Callithrix jacchus: one gene and its partner. The protein of the gene in region 2 binds, or shares a complex with, the protein of the main gene of each other region. Links are inferred from orthologs where the notes say so. Each region holds a gene or a part of one and is shown on either strand. Other genes may lie near its edges.

Region 1 (4,207 bases), on a different chromosome or scaffold from region 2:
ACTCTCTCTCTCTCTTTTTTTTTTTTTTTTGGACAGAGTCTTACTTGATGGCCCAGGCTAGAGGGCTGTGGCACTAACAGCTCACTGAGGCATCCACCTCCTGGGCTCAAGTGGTCCTCCCGTCTCAAACCCCCAAGTAGCTGGGACTACAGGCAGGTGCCACCACACCCGGCTAATTTTTGTATTTTTGTAAAAACAGGCGTGAGCCACCGTCCCTGGCCCACCAGCAGCGTTTCTACCCATAGACCCAGGCTGACACTTGGAGCGGGCTCTCCTTTCTTTCCTTTCTGCCTAATCACCTGCACACACCCCTCCCACACTCCTGCACACTTCCTCCGAGTCCTCTCCCTGGCCCAAACAATCCTCCTGCTCCCATCCCCCAGTGCCCTGTGTGGAGCTGACCCACAGTAGAAATCAATTTCATAAATCAATATTGATACTACTCCTACTAATCACTACATTTGGTCAGGGTCAGAGCTCTGTGCTAAGCGCTTTACAAAGACGGCCTTATTTAAGCCCCGAGACAGCCGTATGGGGTGGTAAGGGCTGTTAGAAGACCCCATACTCCAGGTGCGTGGCTCACGCCTGTAATCCCAAAACTTTAGTAAGCTGAGGCGACAGATCATGAGGTCAAGAGATCAAGACCGTCCTGACCAACATGGTGAAACCCCGTCTCTACTAAATATACAAAAATTAGCTGGCGCCTGTAGTCCCAGCTACTGGGAAGGCTGAGGTAGGAGAATCGCTTGAATCCAGGAGGTGGAGGATGCGGTGAGCCAAGATCACACCACTGCACTCCAGTCTGGGCAACAAGAGTGAAACTCAGTCTCAAAAAAACAAACAAAAAAAAAGCCCCATACACAGATGGCAAAACTGAGGCTCGCGGCAGGGGACGTTCATGGCTCAAGCTGGTTTTAGAACTCAGGCAGTGGAACTTCCCAGGGCGGCACCCTCCAGCTCCTTCTCCCCAAGGGATGTGATTCACATTCTTTCAGGAGTCAGGGAGTTCCCCACCTTCACCCCAGCAGATACGTTTTGGAAGGGGAGGGCACAGGGGGCAGGGCCCTCTCAGTCCAGGCTTTCTCCCCAGGTCCCTGCTCTCCAATGCAGCACACCTCCTGGGGGGGGGGGGGGAGTGTCTGGGCCAGGGTCAGAGTGCGGGGTAGATCCACCAACCTGCACAGGAGCTCTCGCTCCCGGCACCCTGCTCACAACCATTGTGCAGTGTCCCTCACATGAGAGACAACTGTGTGTGCCACTCAGGGTGAGAGGGCAGCGGAGGGGTGTCAGCATCATGCACCACCTCTCACGGACCCGAGTCCCACACACTCGCTCCCGGCACCCTGCTAACGGCGGAGCCACACGTGTAGGCGCGTGCCTCTAAGTCCCTGCCCCCCTTCCTCTCCCAACTCCCACCCTCCACCTCCCACCCCCATTCCCGCCAGAAACCAGAAGCAACTGGCGGCCTCTGGTCCAGCCGGCAGGCGCAGCCCTTCTTGTGGGTGGGGTGGGGGGTGCGCTCCCTCTCTCCCTGTCCCCACTCGCCCCGCCCCCAGCCCTCGATGTTCAAGGTCAAGGCAGCCAGCGAGCGGGGTTGGGGGAAGGGTGGGGAGGTCGCCCCGGCCCCTTTGTGCGGCGCCGCCGCGGGCGCTCGCCCTCCGCCTCCTCCACCAGGCCCAGGAGGAGGGGGAGGGGAGCGCTGCGCTCGCCTGCGGGGAGGGAGGGCGGGAGCAGCCAAGCGCCTGTCACTGGGAGACCGCTGTCACCGCCTAGGAACTAGGGGTGGGGGTGGGGAGCTCTGGGACCCAGGAGTCCGGGATCCCGAAGAGGAAGCAAGCCCGAGATGGAGAGGGGGAAGGGGAGGGGTGGAGAGCGCGAGGGATGGCAGGGAGAGGGGAGGGTCAGGAGGGTCTAGGCTCGGACCCAGGCGTCCCGGTCCCCAGCCACCGGGCCCGGGAGGAATGCGAACGCTCGGAGGGCCGCGGCCAGGAAGAAAGGGAGGGAATCCCCGGAGACCGAGGGCGCTCCCGGCAGGCACCCCCTTCCCGGGCCGGTCCCGGAGGGGACCAGAGATGCTCCGGTTTGATGTGTATGGGCGGGGAGAGGAAGGGATGCCGCGGTCCATGCTGGCCGTGGGTTCGGGGTTCTAGTTCCCGGAGATCCCAGAAGGAAAAAAGGGAGGCAGCGGGGATGGAACCGTGGACCCCCGACGTCTCAGCTCCCACCCTGCGGCCGCGAGGTCCGGGGTCCCCAGAGAAAGAAGGGGAAAGAGAGAAAGGCGCTTTGATGAGGGGAGAGCGGGTGATGGAAACCCTGGGGACCGAGGTCCGGACTCAGGTGTTCGAGCTTCCAGCCCCGGCCGGGGCAGGCCCGGCACCTCCGGAGATCCTGAGGGAGAGATGGAGGAGAGGGAAACCCCTACCCCCACTCTGGGTGGGGAAACGGCCTCCGCCACCCCCAGCCCGCGCCACATTCCTTCACTGACAGCGACAAAGAAGAGGCGCCCCCGCGACCCTGAAGAGGCTCCCGCCTCCAACCCCAGGGGGCGACAGGGGGTGGCCGACCCCCGGGGCAACGGTTTGCGCTGGGGGCCCCCACTCAACTACGGGTCCGCGCGCTGCGTCCCCCTCCTCAGCCACAGGGCGGGCGGGGGAAGGGCTCCTGGTGGGGGGGTCTGGACAGGGGGCGGGGACGGCGGGGACACTCACGACTTGAGCGGGTTCTGAATGGCGGTAGCCATGGCCCGCTCGGCTGGGCCGCCTCCGGCCCGGGGCGCCGCTGCCGCCGCGCGCGGGCCCAGCCCGGCCTGCGCCGCCCGCTCTGCCGCCCAGCGCGCTACGATTTCATTCATTCTTGGGGCTGCGGCGCGAGCGGAGCGGGGCGGGCCGGGGGCGGGGCTCAGCCAATCCCCGCGCCTCCCAGCGCACGACGGGACGTGGAGTCTAGGGGCGCTCGGCGGCGCCCGAGGGCGCCCCTGCCCAGACTACACGTCCCAGGGGGCGTCAGGAGGACCGCGCTCCCATTGGCTGCTGGGGATACAGGGAGGGGCGGGGCTGCCCCCAGAGCATCTTTCCTCTCTCCCTGGGAGTGCTCCGTCCCCAGCTCGGGATCTCCACCCTCGAGGCACCGCGAGCGCGGGAGCAGGTGGTCCCTAGCTTCTGGATGTCCCCAGGGTATGTGGATGACCCTAGGGTTTTTATCGTGTATTTTTGTCTGGGCCTATTTGGGTTTCTCTTCTATATCAGCGAGCCTGTGAACAAGCACAGGGGTTAATCACGCCTTTGTTCGTTTACTGAGTGGCTGCTATGTTCCAGAAACTCTTCTAGGCACTAAGGATACAGCAATGACCAAAACAAAGTTGCTGCTCTCAAGGAGCTGACGTTCTAGTGGAGAAATACAGATAATAAGAAAATAAAGAGATAAAATCATTTCAGACAGTGAGAGATGCTATGAAAAGAAAATTGGGCCGGGCATGGTGGCCCATGCCTGTAATCCCATCACTTTGGGAGGCCGAGGCAGGTGGATCATCTGAACTCTGGAGCTCAAGACCAGTCTGGGCAACATGGCGAAACCTCATCTCTACCAAAAATACCAAAAATTAGGCGGGTGTGGTGGTGCATGCCTGTAGTCCCAGATACTCAGGAGGCTGAGGTGGGAGGGTCACTTGAGCCTGGGAGGCAGAGGTTGCAGTGAGCCAAGATTGTGCCACCGCACTTCAGTCTGGATGACAGAGTGAGACCTTGTCTCAAAAAAGAAGGGAGAGGGAGAGAGAGAGGAAAAAAAAACAAGAGAAGAGAAGAGGCAGGGCACAGTGGCTCACACCTGTAATCTCAGCACTTTGGGAGGCTAAGGCAGGAGGATTGCTTGAGCCCCAGAGCACGAGACCAGCCTGGGCAACATAATGAGACCCCATCTCTACAAAAAGTTTAAAAATTATCTAGGTGTGGTGATGCATGTCTGCAGTCTCAGCTACTCAGGAGACTGAGGCAAAAAGGTCATTTGAGCCTGAAAGTTGGAGGCAGTAGTGAGCTGTGATCACACCACTGTACTCCACCTAGACAACAGAGAGAGACTGTTTCTAAAAATAAAAAAGAAAGAAAGAAAAGAAAAAGAAAGAAGAAAAGAAAATAGATTCAGCAAAACACAGATTTTAGAAAGAAAAAAGAAGCAAGTAAAAAAAAGCAGATTGATTTGAAGGAGTAAGGAA
Region 2 (4,340 bases):
GGCCTGATTGGTGTACATAGTAATAAGAGTGTAAATATTGGGCTGGGCACAGTGACTCATGCCTGTACTTCCAGCAATTTGTAAATTGAGGTAGAAGGATTGCTTAAGCACAGGAGTTTGAAGCCAGCCTGGGCAATATAACGAGATCCCATCTTTACAAACTATTCTCTTAAAATTATCTCTAATTTAAAAAGAGTCTAAATACTGAATACTGATTTCTTTTATTTATTTTTATTTTATTTTATTTTGAGATGGAGTTTTGCTCTTGTTACCCAGGCTGGAGTGCAATGGTGCAATCTTGGCTCACCGCAACCTCTGCCTCCTGGGTTCAGGCAATTCTCCTGCCTCAGCCTCCTGAGTAGCTGGGATTACAGGCATGTGCCACCATGCCCAGCTAATTTTTTTTTTTTGTATTTTTAGAAGAGATGGGGTTTCACCATGTTAACCAGGATGGTCTTGATCTCTTGACCTCGTGATCCACCCGCCTCGGCCTCCCGAAGTGCTGGGATTACAGGCTTGAGCCACCGCGCCTGGCCCTGATTTCTTTTAAAGTCTAAAATACAACTGGTCTGGATGCGGTGGATCTCACCTGTAATCTCAGCAATTTGGGAGGCTGAGGCAGGCAGGTTGCTTGAATTCAAGACCCAGAAATTCCAGACCAGCCTGGACAACATGGTGAAACCCTGCCTCTACAAAAAATGTAAAAATCAGCTGGGCGTGGTGGCTCATGTCTGTAGTTCCAGCTTCTCCGGAGGCTGAAATGAGAGGGTCACTTGAGCTGAGGAGGTAAAGGCTGCAGAATCGTGCTGCTGCACTCCAGCCTGTGTGACAAAGTAAGAGCCTGTCTCAAAAACAAACAACACAACCCCAAACAACCACAACAACAGAAGCCACTGTACTTAAAGGTGGGTGATGAGAAATCTGTGTGGTATAGGCTGGGGAGGAAAAGAGAGCTAAGCGACCATTTTCTAAAGTGGAAAATTCATAGATAATACCTAAAACAAAAAACTCCACAGGCTGCAATTTAAGTGTGATATTAGAGATATGAAAGAAAATACTCCAAAAATTAGCTCAAAAGGGAGAAAAACAGTTGCTTTTATACAGGGGGAAATATAAGGAGGCAGGTAAGAACATTTAAAAAATGTCTACCGGCGCCCGCCATCACACCTGGCGAATTTTTTGTAAAAATACAAAAATTAGGCATGGTGGCGGGTGCCAGTAATCCCAGCCACTTGGCAGGTTTAGGCAAGATAATTCCTTGAACCCAGGAGACACAGGCTGAGATCTCGTGATTGCACTCCAGCCTGGGCAACAGAGTGAGACTCTGTCTCAAAAGATTAAAAATTTAAAAAGGACTTGGAGACGGAGAAGGGCAGCAGAGTAAGATAGAGCAGGAAAAGAGCAGGAGGGCTGGAGACAGCTAGGAAGGAAAGAAAGTGGTGAAGATGGAAAAGGGAGGTCAAGTGGCTGAGAGTGGTGGCTTGAGGGGAGAGGAGAGGTGGATGGTGGGAATGAGGTTCGGTGGAGATCAGGGCCGGACGTGGAGGTATGGAGTAGGCACTCACCGGAGCCTCGGACATGAGCACTGGGTGCAGGTTTGGCTCAGACTTGACATGTTTGCTGTAGGTGTGATCCAGGATGGCTCGGAAGCACTCCCAATCCTCAACTGGGGCCAGAAGAGCAGCACAGAGACGCAAGAGGGCAGGCAAGGGTCAGGGACAGGAGGAAAAGGAGGGAGGAAGGCCAAGTCCAAAGGAGGGTCAGTGAGTCCAGCTCCAGGGGAACACCCTCCTTCCCAGAAACCTGATGGGCCCCTGGGATGGGAACCAGGCAGCTCAGGGAGGCAGTGAGAAGAACCCTGGGACTGCAAGGAAGAATCCTTGGGGAGTTGGGGCTGCTATGTCCCAGATCATGGAGAGTGAGCTCCCTGTCTGTGTCAGGAGGTGATGGGTGAGGGCCCCTTACTCATGCCATTCTTCAGGGGCGACATGACCTCTGCTCCATCCCGAGGCACGTGCAGGGCATTGGTGTCGATGTGAAAGATCTTCCCTTTCTTCTCTTTGTCCCCCTCCAGCTCCAGCCCGCCCCCCTCCTCCGCGGCCAGCAGCCCCACCGTGGTGGGGAAGTCAGCCTGGTGGGGAAGGGTTGGGGGAGGATCGGCAGGGAGAGGGGTCACCTTCTTGCCCCTGTCCAGCCCCACAGCGGGGTCCTCAGCCCGCCCCTGGGTTTATTCCCGCATTCCCGCTCAGCAGAGCTTCTGGGCGATCTGGGAGAGCCCTGGGTCACTGGAAAGCCCGAAGAAGGGTTCAGAGCCCCTAGAATTTGGGGAGGAGACTGAAAGGCTCACCTTGGGGCAGTCCTCCCCAGCGTACCCAGCTCGGACTGAGAAGGAGCCAATGTCAAAGACCAGCGCCCCCACCTCATCTGTGCGGGGAAACAGGCCTGTAAGGGGACTTCCCCCGAACTCTCTCCCGCTAGGTAGCTCCGAGAGGAAGTCAGGGCAGAGCCACAGTCTCACTACTTTCATCACCAGTCTGGGGCAGGTGGGACTGGAGTCCGAGGTCCTGGGACTGGGGGCAGGGGCATCACACCGCCAGGTCCCTGCTTGCCCAGTGGACTTGCTCAGGTCGCCCTCCAGACGGGAAAGGAAGGGGCCGGGGACCAGTTGGAGGTGGGTTGCAAGGTAGAGAGGTTGGGCCCGGTGCGCGCGAGGCGTGCAGGGAGGACCGAGCGTAGGAGTGGCGGGAGACCCAAGCCTGGGACCGGACCCATTCGTGCACGGAGGTGACAGGCCCCGGGGTGCCCAGAGCTCGGATCGATGACGCGGGTTCGGAACGCAAGGCTGCGGGAGCCCGGGGCCCAAGGCTCGCTCACCTCCGCCGTAGACGCCGCCGCTCATAGTGCCCTCTGCGCGGCTCGCGGCCCGTGGGCGGCGGCGGGATCAGCACCGAGGCGGCCGGACAGCTCCCGGGATCCCGGGCGGGGCGGGGCGCGAGGCGGCCAATCGGGAAGCCGGATCCCCCGCCCCCAACGGCGCCGCCGATTGGCTGCCAGGCGAGACAATGACCCGGACGGGGGCCGCTGCTTTAAAGGGAAAGACGTCCCCGGTTAGGCGGCCGGGAGGAGATGGGGCAGGGGGCTCCCAGCAGGGACTTAACCGTTCCTAAGGAACGCGTGGCAGAGAGGAGAGAGCAGGAAAGAGGAGGAGACCAAGACTCTGTAGGACGACTGATGAGGTCCTTACCCCCTTGCTTTTTAGTTTTATTATTTTAATTCTTTTGGTAGAGATGGGGTCTTGTTATTTCGCCCAGGCTGGTCTCGTACTCCTGAGCTCAAACGATCTTCTTCAGCCTCCCAAGTAGCTGGGATTACAGGCAGGTGCCAGCACACCTGGCTAATTAAAAAAAAAAAAAAAATATATATATATATATATATATATTGTAGAGATGGGGTCTTGCTGTGTTGCCCAGGTTGATCTCTAACTCCTGGCCTCAAGCAATCCTCCTACCTCAGCCTCTCAAAGTGCTGGAATTATAGGCATGAGCCATCTCGTCCCTTCTCTATTCCCTTACCTTTTAAAGCAGGGTTGCGGAGAGAACTCCAGTACCCAGAAGGGTCATCTATCTTCAGGCTGCTGTGAGCCCGGTTTTGCCAATCCCGGGCCTAAATGGAATCACTGAGAGAGGGAGGGAAGGGAAGATTGAGAGAGAGACCAGAAGGAGTGTGTCTCCATCTCTCCCTGTTTTTTCCTTTTTTTTTTTGACACGGACTCCTGCTGTGTCGCCCAGGCTGGAGTGCAGTGGCGCGATCTCAGCTCACTGCAACCTCTGCCTCCTGGGTGTTCACGTGATTCTCCTGTCTCGGCCTCCTAAGTAGCTGGGACTACAGGCGCGTGCTAATTTTTTGTATTTTTAGTAGACACGGGGTTTCACCGTGTTAGCCAGGATGGTCTTGATCTCCTGACCTCGTGATTCGCCGACCTTGGCCTCCCAAAGTGCTGGGATTACAGGAGTGAGCCACCGTGCCCAGCCTTTTTTTTTTTTTTTTTTTAAGACACGGACCCTCACTATGTTGTCCAATTTGGTCTCGAACTCCTGGCCTCAAGTGAGCCTCTCGCCTTGGCTTCCTGAGTCATTGCGATTACAGGTGTCAGCCACAGTGCCAGACTAGCAAAAGATTTTCTACTGCTTGGACCCCAGGTTCTTCTGGGCTCCTGGCACCACAGTTTTGGTAGCAAAGACGAAGAAGCAGCTCTGACACCTTGGGGTAGCTGACACACACACCTTCTGTGAGGGTGTGTGTGTCTGTATGTGTTGGCGTGTGTGTGCATGTGTGTACAT

What was found. Proteins that work in one complex are often made in the same cells at the same time.
Region 1: ACTL6B (region 2) and DPF1 share a complex: the UniProt entries of both Homo sapiens proteins name them as parts of the neuron-specific chromatin remodeling complex. The link is inferred for Callithrix jacchus from reciprocal best matches to the Homo sapiens genes ACTL6B and DPF1.

The regions. Positions count from the first base shown.
Region 1 is NC_133523.1:33,815,057-33,819,263, forward strand, and holds the start of DPF1 (zinc finger protein neuro-d4), read right to left. Parts: upstream 2,846-4,207; 5' UTR 2,741-2,845; coding exon 2,709-2,740; intron 1-2,708. UniProt on the Homo sapiens protein: May have an important role in developing neurons by participating in regulation of cell survival, possibly as a neurospecific transcription factor. Belongs to the neuron-specific chromatin remodeling complex (nBAF complex).
Region 2 is NC_133503.1:13,071,723-13,076,062, reverse strand, and holds the start of ACTL6B (actin-like protein 6B), read right to left. Parts: upstream 2,982-4,340; 5' UTR 2,900-2,981; coding exon 2,875-2,899; intron 2,425-2,874; coding exon 2,348-2,424; intron 2,132-2,347; coding exon 1,966-2,131; intron 1,667-1,965; coding exon 1,566-1,666; intron 1-1,565. UniProt on the Homo sapiens protein: Involved in transcriptional activation and repression of select genes by chromatin remodeling (alteration of DNA-nucleosome topology).